Linked DNA regions of Oryzias latipes. Each later gene encodes a partner of the first gene's protein in a complex. Links are inferred from orthologs where the notes say so. Each region holds a gene or a part of one and is shown in the gene's direction. Other genes may lie near its edges.

Region 1 (3,637 bases):
ATTTTATTTTTAAAACTCTTGAGGTTTGAGTTGTACTCCTTTTCTTAGGCTTCATCTTTTCATCTTCATCTTCATACCTTTATCGATGGAAAGGATTTTGATGTTAAATGCGATATTAAAGCAAATCTAAAGGTAAAAAGACAACAAATGAAGCAACAAACAGAATGAAGAGATGGAAGATGAGGCTGGAATGTCGTCTGAGATCTGATAAAAGCTTTAAAGTGAAATGCTGGCAGGCAGTTTGTGTGACTGAAATATTAACAAAGCAGGCCAAAATGTAGTCAATTTAAACACGTTTTAAAAGGTGAAAAGCTTTACTCTGTAATCAATTTAAAAACACACAAAAAACTTATTTTAAATATGGCATTACAAGGTAAGTCTACTTCATATTTGTAAATTATCAAATGCTTTAACACAAATTTTTTTTTAAATATGAAAAAGTGAAAGATGTTGATCTGATTTAAAATGATCACGAACGATTGGCGCTCAAAAATATTAAAATTAAACTAGAAAAATAAATGACAATAGAATTGAATCCTTTTTAACATCAGAAATGAAAATATATCTTCTGTATAATTTACAAAAATGCTAAAACATTTTATTTAAAAAGATTAACACTGGATTTACTTTTTAAAATTTGAAAACCAAGATGTTTTGGAAAAATAAATATACTTTGACTTGGGTTCTGATTTCAGACAGAAGATAAAACAAACTGCAGCGCCTGTAAAACTTGTCAAGATGTCAGGGGCAAAAATTAATAAAATAAAAGAAAATGAGAAAATCTGCAGGTGTCCTTTAAAGAATTCTTATAGTAATTTCAGAAAATGTTGCTGTACTCTAATATCAAAATTCTATATTTAAAGACAGTATTTTAAAATTGACATTCCCAAGAAAAAACAATAGTTATTAAAATCATGATTAATCTTTATCAGATTATGTCAATACTCTGACATTAAATGAAGTGTTTATTGTGTTGAAAATATTTATAAATCTGAATTCCTAAAACTTAAAATGCTTAAAGTCTTATTTTATCTTGTAATTTTAAATTAAAAATCGGAGTCGTGAGATTAAAGTCAGAATTCTTAAATGTAAAAACTGCATGCCGTGTGTAATTTCTCAGCTCCTGATTTTAATTTATTTTATTAATTAGTTTTGACTCGCGTACTAGTAGTTCCGCATTTATCTACTTCTTTTGTTCTGACGTATCAGTTAGATTTAAAAATAATATAAAATAAGAAAAAAGGCTTTCTAAATGTTTCGTTAGGCTACTTTTCCAGTAAGAAGTTGTTACTAAACCATCTAAGTAAAATAAATATGGAAATCTTTTTTGCGACACTTTCTTCCGACGTTGCTGTAACTGCTCGAAGAGGATGATGGTTAATGTAGTACATCAGTAGACACGTGTGTTGTCGTGTAGTTAAGCTAGGGAAAATGGCGGGTCTGGAGCTGCTGTCTGATCAAGGATACCGGTTGGATGGAAGAAAAGCTACCGAGCTGCGCAAAGTCCAGGCCCGCATGGGGGTGTTCGCTCAGGCCGACGGTTCCGCGTATCTGGAGCAAGGAAACACCAAAGCTCTGGCGGTGGTTTACGGCCCGCATGAAGTGAGTGGCGCGCGCGCGTGGAGAAGTGACGTAAAAACAACACCACCAGTCTGTTCATGGCAGCCAAAGAAACGGTGCAAACTGCGTTTAATGAAGGATTAAGATATTTCTATGTAATGTGTCAGATTTAAAGGGATATTTTACATTAATGTAATGATTTTAGTATAATACGTTTCCTTCAAAGCATTTTATTGTATCAGTAACACAAAATGTTTACTTATCTGGCTCGGTCACACAGTACTTACTAACAACTGCATTCAAGAGTTTTTGAACTTGTTATGCTATTCTGAGGTAAACTTACTGCTTTTGAATCTTTGACTTGCTGAGAAATCCAAGTTAATTTGAGGATTTGTTGGTTAATTTATTCATTTACCAAAAGTATTCCAAGCCCCAAATATAACAGCCCCTTACCATGACACCATTACCACCATGTTTGACTGTTTGTGCAATGTTTTACACTAGAGTGATGCGAGGCACATCACCCAAAATGTTTCACGGTTATCTTTTCTGTCCTGAAAGTCTTTCCTAAATCTTGTAGAACATCGATATTTCTGATGGAAAACCTGAGATGTTGTTTTTGCTCATCTGTGCCGTTGACCTCAAACTCTCCCATGTCTGGCGTTTTTATTGTCTGGTTTACCTCTGATGATGGATTAAAAAGCTGTTTTACTCAAAGGACAGATGTATGCCGCCCTGTGAAAAATGTCAGACCTTTTTTATGGTTCTCCTATGCTTACTTCCTGTTTCCCATTCAGATTCGAGGTGCTCGTAGTCGGGCTCTTCATGACAGAGCCATTATCAACTGCCAGTACAGCATGGCCACCTTCAGCACGGCGGAGAGGAAGAGGAGACCGCACGGAGACCGCAAGTCCACAGAAATGAGCCTTCACCTCAAGCAAACGTTTGAAGCTGCCGTGCTGACCCAGCTCTACCCACGCTCCCAGATAGACATCTATGTCAAGGTTGGCCTTAGATTTATAGTATACTGCGCTCTACTTCATAGCATCTGTTTTCGTCATTGTTTTAAGAACGTTTTCATCATTCAAGATTCTTCAGTCCGACGGGGGGAACTACAGCGTTTGTGTGAACGCCGCCACACTGGCAGTGATCGACGCAGGGATACCGATGAGGGACTATGTGTGCGCCTGCACAGTGGGCTTCGTGGATGAAACCTCTCTTGCCGATCTTTGCTACGCAGAGGAGAGCGGAGGAGTGAGCTCTCTGGCTTTGGCGCTTCTGCCCCGCGGAGGGCAGATCGCTCTGGTCCAGATGGATGCCAGACTGCATCAGGATCACCTCGACACTCTGATTGAGGCGGCAATGACCGCTTGTAAAGGTGTGAGCAAAGTCCTGGACCAGGTGGTCAGGCAACATCTCCAAGAAGGTTCTACGCTCAGAGAATAATGGTGAAGGAAAGAGTAAACAAATGGTTTCCTGGGATCAACACTTATTTTGTCGTCATTCTTAACATTTTATTAAGTATATTTGTGCATAAAGAATAAATGTGAATGTATATCGTTTCTTTGTATTTGCATTTGTTTTATTAGCTGAAAACTGACCTGTTTTTGATGCAAAAATCAATGTGATCAACTGAAACAGCAACATCAGCATTTTATATATAAACAGATAATAAAGCTTTGTTTTCAGACTGATACAATAAGAACCTTTATTTTAAACCACACATCCGTAAGAGTAAACAATTTGTGAAAAATTAGATAATTCTTATATCCAATTTATTTAGCTGTGTTGATATCTTACAAATTTTCACCAAAACAATACTTTTTATTCCTGAATGAAATGCTCTGTTCATGTGTTTAGTCTTTTTTTTTTAGATTAATTTTCTTTGATTTGTTTTGCAGACAGGCTATTCTGCTTTTGCTTTTGTTTGTTGTAAAAGTAATTTTTATGTCACAATACAATACATGTTTTGTAAGAGTTTCAGTCCGTTGAGGCTGAATAATCTATCATTTTCTTTACCTGCTGAAACAAAATTGGTATTAATGTAACTTACTTTTTAAAGTAACTTTTCTTACAT
Region 2 (4,280 bases), on another chromosome or scaffold:
TCCTAGGCAGTGACAGCTTTGCTGGTGTTTTATATAAACAAAAATAACGGTTAGGGCTCGGTGGAGGAGCTAAAACATGGCTGCCGGGGAGCAGCGCAGAGCCCAGACTGTCCCTGAACTGCCCCGGCCGCAGCACCTGCTCCGCGGGCTACAGCTAACACAGCAGGACCGCCACAAGTTAGCGCAACACGAGCTTCGCTGACACCCGAACACGCGCGGAAGACGGATGTAAGCACGCGCTGACGCAAAACAAGAGGCAGCAGACATTTAACGTGATACAACAGAAAAGATAAAACGTTTTATCTGAAGACCACGAATGAATGAAAAACAAACGCTAGCTTGCTAGCCACAACGTTGCGCGCGCGCGCGCGCCCATGATGAATGGAGTGGAGTGAATGAGCGTGCGCACACAAACCGTCCTTACGTCCTCTCTTGCAGCTCGTTATTATATTTGAAAATGGTTGTTGTTGTGTTCTGCCCTACGGAGAAGGGCACAAGAGTGATCTGAGGTTGAAGAGCGGAGTCTCCCTTGAGAAACGGAGGGGAAACACGGCTGGATGGATGGACCGTGAGTGACAGTTAGCCCGTATAACGGTACTGGACGTGCGCAGTAGACACAGAAGGGGAAGCACGACTGATGCGTTCAAATGCTCAAGCCAAAAATCCGAACCCAAGCTGTCATTCGCTCATTTGTTTTTATGCATGCTTGTTATAATTTTTTTAAATAACATCATCAAGGATTTGTTCACATCTGTTTCCTTTTTTTTCAGACCGATGAACATAAAAAGCTTTTAAGATGTACTACTGGCTATTTTTAATTGCCATATAAGGAAAATGTGGTGTGATTGGTTAATATTTGATTTAACAATACATAAAAAATAATTTATTCTTTAATAAACAGAACACAGCTTTGGTTGTATATATTTGTAAATACAGAAAATTGAATGCATTGTTAGTCAAAGGTTATATTCATAGAGGAAGAAAAAGAAAAACATGTATTTAGAATTCAAGTCTACAGGACTTTAATTGGGGGAAAATGGCTTGAGCTTAAAAGAAGTTCCCCTTTACATTTCTTATGTTTATGTTAAGACAAACTAAACAAACAGCAAACATTTATTCAATGTTTAATATTAAATAAATTTGACAGCCAAATAGAATTTGCAAAGATCAAGGGATTGAAATTCTTTGTATACACATTTATCATTTCTTTTAGTATTTTTATGCAGTTAATTAAGCACGTGTATTAAATGTATTCTTAAAAAATTGTCAAGTTAAAATACAAAACCAATTATATTGCAGAAGACAAAAACTTGAACAATGTAATTTCCAAGTTGACCCCAACGCAGCACCGATCGCAACTGTCGTAAACACTTTTTACACTCGTCTGACCGCAGGAAATGCAGATATTTTATATAAATTATAAGGATATATTTTTGGGTTTGTAAAATAATACAAAATTATTTCTTGTACTGAAATAATTGTTGCCTTTAATGTGAAAACAAATAATTGGTTGATTCAACCTGCTGTGTATTTGATGCTGGCGTCTTCTGTTTCCATCTATTTAGTTTGAAATAATATGAATTTGTACGAAACCATAAATAAAATGCTACAATTCAAAATTAAGATAATTTTTAACATTAAAACCATGTTTAATCCAGCATTGGACTCAAACCATATTCGAGCCTTTACTGTCGTAAAACGTACACAGCTGCGCATGCGCGCCTAGAACCGGATAAACATAAACGTGCCCGCGTGGTTTTCAAAGAATCTAATCATTTCAAAATAACTCCAAACAGCCTGAAATCCACACGATGAAAGAAACACCGCTGTCCGCCTGCGAGCGGGACTTTATACTGAAAGCCATCGAGGAGAAAAAGGTTTGTTTTCGTTCCTCGGTAACAGTTCCCTGATGACTACTGTGTACAACAACATTTTATTAAAAGCGTAGTTGTTTAACAGTTCGGTAAAACTCCGGGAAGGTGGTTTAATTTAGAAATCTTCAAGAGAAGAGGGAAAAATGCGACTTTTGCAGCATCAATGATTGATTTACTGATTTTAATACAAAAACTGTGCATTTAATTGATTAATTTTTGTACTTCTGTGGCCTTGATCACTGCAAGGTTCCGTATGCTGCTCGTCTTAGTGACAATCTGGATATTATAATGTGAGAAAAATATATTTCTGTGTTTTTTTTAATATATTCATATCCAGCCTAACTGCTTCACTCTCTGCTGGTGACTGAATAGAAAAAGTGAGATGGGAAGAGTTTAAGGGAAAACTATCACGTTGTCTTTTTTTCCGTGCAGCGTCTGGACGGACGGCAGACCTACGACTACAGAAAGATCAAGATCAGCTTTGGGACGGACTACGGCTGCTGCTTTGTGGATTTGGGACAAACCAGGTGAGCCCCAGGTTCTCTTTGTGGGGAAAACCGGACGTGGTGCGTTTGATGTCGCTCAGTCATCGGAGCTTTGTGTTTTCAGGGTCATGGCCCAGGTATCTTGTGAGCTGGTTGCACCAAAGGAGAGCCGCCCGAATGAGGGAATCATGTTTTTTAACATCGAGCTGTCACCTCTGGCCTCGCCAGCTTTCGAGCAGGGAAGGTTGGTTTTGGATCACATGACCTTATAGTTTTGTGCCTCGATTGTCTCTGTGTGGCTCATTTTTTGTTGTTTCGCCACATCCAGACAGTCGGAGCTGTCCGTGAAGCTGAACAGACAGTTGGAAAGATGCCTGAGGAACTCCAAGTGCATCGACACGGAGTCCCTGTGCGTGGTGTCCGGAGAAAAGGTCATTCCCACAAACCTGTGCGACTCGCAAAGCGACGTCTGCTTTCCTCTGAAACGCGTGTGTTCGCCCAGGTGTGGCAGATCAGGGTGGATGTCCACATGCTGAACAACGACGGGAACCTGATGGACGCCTCCAGCATCGCCGCCATCGCCGCTCTGTGCCATTTCAGGCGGCCCGACGTAGCCGTCCAGGGAGAGGAGGTCACGGTGGTGAGGGAGCAGCCCCAGCAGGAGGCGGCGTTTTCTCATCTGTCGGTTTACATTGTTGCTTTTCCCGTTTCAGTACAGCCCAGAGGAGAGGGATCCCATTCCTCTTAGCATCTACCACATGCCCATTAGTGTCAGCTTCTCCTTCTTCCAACAAGGGTAATAATCCACTTCTCCTGATTCATCCCCAACTCCTGACCATAAACTCACTATTCAAACTATCAATTGGAGATCACATGATCGGAAATCACAGTTTCAGACTTGATCGGAATTTATTTTTTATTATTTTAATTCAAGCTTGTTTTTTTTCTCCAAATAAACGTCCTACTCAAAATCTGCCGACCATGAACGCATCACGACATTTTACGCAGCGGAATAGGGCGTCATTTTGAGCAGGAGGCAAGATATTCCCACATTTAGGCTTCCAGGCTCTTTAAAGAAACATTTTAAGCTGACAAACAAGTGTTTCTATTGGTTTGTCTTAACTCACACAACTACTTTCGACGGCATCGTGAACTCTGATCATCTTTTGATCGCAGTGGTCTTTTTAATTATGTTTTTTTAGGCAAAATCACAAAACCTGTATCGTTTTCTAGGACATAGTTTCTGCAGAGCGGCTGCAGTTGTCTTGTGGGGCGGGAGTTTTGGTGTGGAGTAACCCCGCCCCCCTTCCCCATCATAAATCTTTTTACAGGCTCTCTGGCTAGCTTACAGCCCCCTCTCAAACCCAAGGTAGCATTGCCGGTGAGACATAGAGACGTACGTGGATCTGTACAGAGCTGGGAGCTTCTGGCTTGCCGTAGTAACGTGTTAAAAGGGTTTTTCCAACTGCATATTTTGTCAGCTCCTAATTACAAAAAAAATTCTCAGAAATGCAATTTTTAGCTAAATCTTCTTTTTCTATGTCTTCAATCATGAGAAAACACTACAAGAACACGTTATAAACACCACTTTCATCAAAGTGGGTCTTTAGTGAGATTCATGGTGTGTCCAAATTCGAGGGCTGCTTCCTTCAATAAACTACCTTTAATTAACTACAATAGGCCGGATGTGAACAGCTGTGAATTTGGATGAGCCTAACCGTTTGAATTATTCCAGCCGTTGCATCTGCGAATGTCCCGTCGCCTAGCAACCGCGAGTCCAGAACAGAGAGGAGAAGTGAACCAGGCATGGAGCTCAAATTTTCCTGGCTAATTCGATCTAACTTTTAATCTGGGAGGTGTAACTATAAGAAGGTGTAATTATCTCACAGTCCGCCATCGTTTTTAGAAAAATCTCTGGGTT
Region 3 (3,008 bases), on another chromosome or scaffold:
TTTAGCTGACACCAAATTGCAGATAAGATGATGTTTTCCACATAGTTGGTTAGGTTTTGTGGGACAGATGCTGGACTTCTCCCTGCCAGAGAAAGTTGTTTGAATCCCAGAAGCTTCTAGTCTGAATATGTGAGTACATCAAGCACACATTTTAATTGTCAGATCCTTCATGTTACAGGTGACGAGCATCAATTCCAGGTTCGCCAAAGTGCACATCCTGTATGTGGGCTCCACGCCGCTCAAGGACCTGTTCAGAGGAACCATCAGGTGAGGCAGAGTGGACGCAGCAGATGTGGCTGTTTTAGTGCTGTCTGACGCTCTTCTGTGTGTTCAGGAAAGAAGACGTTCGCGCCACAGAGAAAGATAAGGTGAGCGAGATCCGTTTGGCCCGGCGCCGTCCGTCCTTGCTGGTCTGACGTTGAGCTTTGTTTAGGTGGAGATGCACAGAAGCTTTAGACCTGGGGACATTGTTCTGGCCAAAGTGGTATCCTTCATATTTCTTGATGCTCCGCGCACAAAGCTCAGAAGCTGGCATGGCAGACCTTAACCTGACGCTAGATTTCTCTGGGAGACGTTCAGTCCAACTACCTGCTGACCACTGCAGAGAACGAGCTCGGAGTGGTGGTGGCGCACAGCGACGCAGGTGAGCGCACGGTCACCCTGCTGTGACGGGACGGCGGTGTTCAACCACCGGGTCAGACGGGAGTTCGAAATATTACAAAATAGAATTTATGTCATCCTCTGTCCTCGCCTGCCCTCATATGTGGAAGAAAAGCCATGTCTGTGTGTGTTTGGGTCAGCGCATATGTGTGCAAGTTTGTGTGTGTGAGGTAGAGTTGGCGTGTGTGCGTGAATAGCGTGTCATCTGGACCCCACAAGATAACAGAAGGGTTATTTATATGCACCCGTATTTATTAGCATTTGTATGAGGATTTATGTTGGTGTGTATGTGTGTTAACATGCGAGTTTGTTCTAGCATGGATGTGTGTGAATGTGTGTTAGCATTTGTGTTAGGATGTGTTGGTGTGTGAGTTTGTCAGTTTGATTTTGTCTTGGCATTTGTGTGCTTTGCGTTGGTTTCAGTTTTTTATGTTTGTGCTGACATAAACTCTAACCTTTTTAACGCCGCGGACCGGTATGACGTCATACAAAGTTTTCACGGGCCGGTCTATATGATGTGGCCGACAATTATTGTAGCAACGCTACACTGAAGTTAAAGCGCAGGCATGACAAGAAGAATCCGTGCTTTCATTTTGACACGGACGTCACTCAGGTGTCATCATCTTCTCCCCTTCCTACACTCCTGGTGCAAAGGCTCCTCTTCTGTCTCCTGGCTGGGCGTTTTTCCCCTTTTCACACTTTCCAAAGACGTTTGTTTTTTACTAATTTTGCCAGCTCCTGGGTTTTATTTTAGCGGGATCCTATCACGTGACCGAGAAGAGAACCTTGGCCTGCGTCAAGAGTGACATAGACGGATGGAATAGGCTCCGTGCACGAAAGTAAGGAGTTCTACTTCCGCCGCCTTGAGTGTGAGGCCGACCATTTCCGGCTTGCGACTTCTATAGCAGCGACACGGCAGATTTTGATTGCGAAAGATGGCATATTTCACCCGTTTTCTACAAGGTCTCCCGAAAATCGACGTGAACGACATCTATAGGATTGTCGACCAGTGCGTGGTTACATGGGCAAAATATCGTGTCGAAAAATATAGTGTACAAAATACCGAAAGGAAATGTGTCCCGTTGTAAACAAACCTGTGCTGTCACATATTTATGCAGCAGCTCGGTAATATACGAGGCGATCTTCCAAACGTGCTTTTATTAATTTTATGAATATTATGAAGTGCCTGTTCGATCATCATTTTATATTTAATCCTTGTGGTCAGTGCTTTTTTTTTTTTTGTGGAAGAAGAACAGAACTGAAGAACAACCCAGTGTTAGGATAGGCTAACAACACGGGCTAACAACATCAGCCTTTATTTGTCGGGGCACAATTAGAAACACGATTCCATGTGTCGTGATTTTTTGAACAGTTTCTAAGGACTGAGCGGCATTTCTGCTCTGTAAAGCTCACACACTGCCCCGTGACGGCTGTGTAAGCTGGCCGCTCGAGCTCTGCTCTGTCCTCGCGAGTCCGGCAGCCGCTAACCCAGAGCGGCGGCTCGGCTCGCAGTCCGAATTCTCACACATAACAAAACGCACACGTAACAAAGCACCCTCCCCTCAAACACATTAATAAATCCAGCTGATCTGCTCAGTCAGAGGTTCATTCGGTCCACTGGCTCCGGAGCCCGAACGCAGAGCTCGGATGCTGGGTTTCAGACGTCAGTGGACACGCACCCCCCCCCCCCCCCCCCGCATCTCCCTCGTGAGGGGTGAAAGAGAGGGGAGACCCAGCGGGGCGAGAGCGGAGCGGCGCTTTACGCGGGGCGTCCGCAGAGCCGCTGGTCGGTCCCGTATGAGCTCCAAAGCTTTCTCTCAGCGAAACACCGTCAATGCATGACGTAACCCAGAGCAGCAGTGACACACGATCGGAATGACCGTTTACATGAACAACGATCGGTATACCCAGCTATCTCGATCGGAAAGAAATTTTGATCCAAACGAGTCTGACCGGGGCAAAGTATTCCGAACGGTGTGTTTACATGACGTATTTTCTTTCCGATTGCTGCAAATACGAAACACGACTCGTCTTGTTTGGGGTGAAGTCCTCCCGCCGTGTTCACCATCATTCGGCTCTCACCGACACATATACTGGAAAGCTATGAAAGCTTATATTAGTACTGTTGTACTTTGACAAATTCGCACACGGGTATACACAACAATGTTGTGATGTCTTTGTCACGCGTTGAAACACCAAACTCCTTTCTTTTACCCGAAATCTGCTCCTATTTACTCAAAACTAGCAACTCAACAAAACTCCCCACAACACTAACACGACCAACAGGTAGTTGTCGGCCTCACACTCGAAACACGGAAGTTAACCGGAAGTTCTGTCGTGCACGACAG

Evidence for each region.
Region 2: exosc4 (region 1) and exosc9 share a complex: the UniProt entries of both Homo sapiens proteins name them as parts of the RNA exosome core complex. The link is inferred for Oryzias latipes from reciprocal best matches to the Homo sapiens genes EXOSC4 and EXOSC9.
Region 3: exosc4 (region 1) and exosc1 share a complex: the UniProt entries of both Homo sapiens proteins name them as parts of the RNA exosome core complex. The link is inferred for Oryzias latipes from reciprocal best matches to the Homo sapiens genes EXOSC4 and EXOSC1.

Annotation. Positions count from the first base shown.
Region 1 is NC_019875.2:26,759,973-26,763,609, reverse strand, and holds exosc4 (exosome complex component RRP41), read left to right. Parts: upstream 1-1,367; 5' UTR 1,368-1,431; coding exon 1,432-1,602; intron 1,603-2,357; coding exon 2,358-2,564; intron 2,565-2,649; coding exon 2,650-3,006; 3' UTR 3,007-3,122; downstream 3,123-3,637. UniProt on the Homo sapiens protein: Non-catalytic component of the RNA exosome complex which has 3'->5' exoribonuclease activity and participates in a multitude of cellular RNA processing and degradation events.
Region 2 is NC_019859.2:5,412,079-5,416,358, reverse strand, and holds the start of exosc9 (exosome complex component RRP45), read left to right. Parts: upstream 1-1,369; 5' UTR 1,370-1,811; coding exon 1,812-1,877; intron 1,878-2,306; coding exon 2,307-2,401; intron 2,402-2,483; coding exon 2,484-2,603; intron 2,604-2,687; coding exon 2,688-2,790; intron 2,791-2,861; coding exon 2,862-2,999; intron 3,000-3,072; coding exon 3,073-3,155; intron 3,156-4,280. UniProt on the Homo sapiens protein: Non-catalytic component of the RNA exosome complex which has 3'->5' exoribonuclease activity and participates in a multitude of cellular RNA processing and degradation events.
Region 3 is NC_019859.2:28,382,496-28,385,503, forward strand, and holds part of exosc1 (exosome complex component CSL4), read left to right. Parts: intron 1-178; coding exon 179-267; intron 268-334; coding exon 335-368; intron 369-433; coding exon 434-484; intron 485-558; coding exon 559-643; intron 644-3,008. UniProt on the Homo sapiens protein: Non-catalytic component of the RNA exosome complex which has 3'->5' exoribonuclease activity and participates in a multitude of cellular RNA processing and degradation events.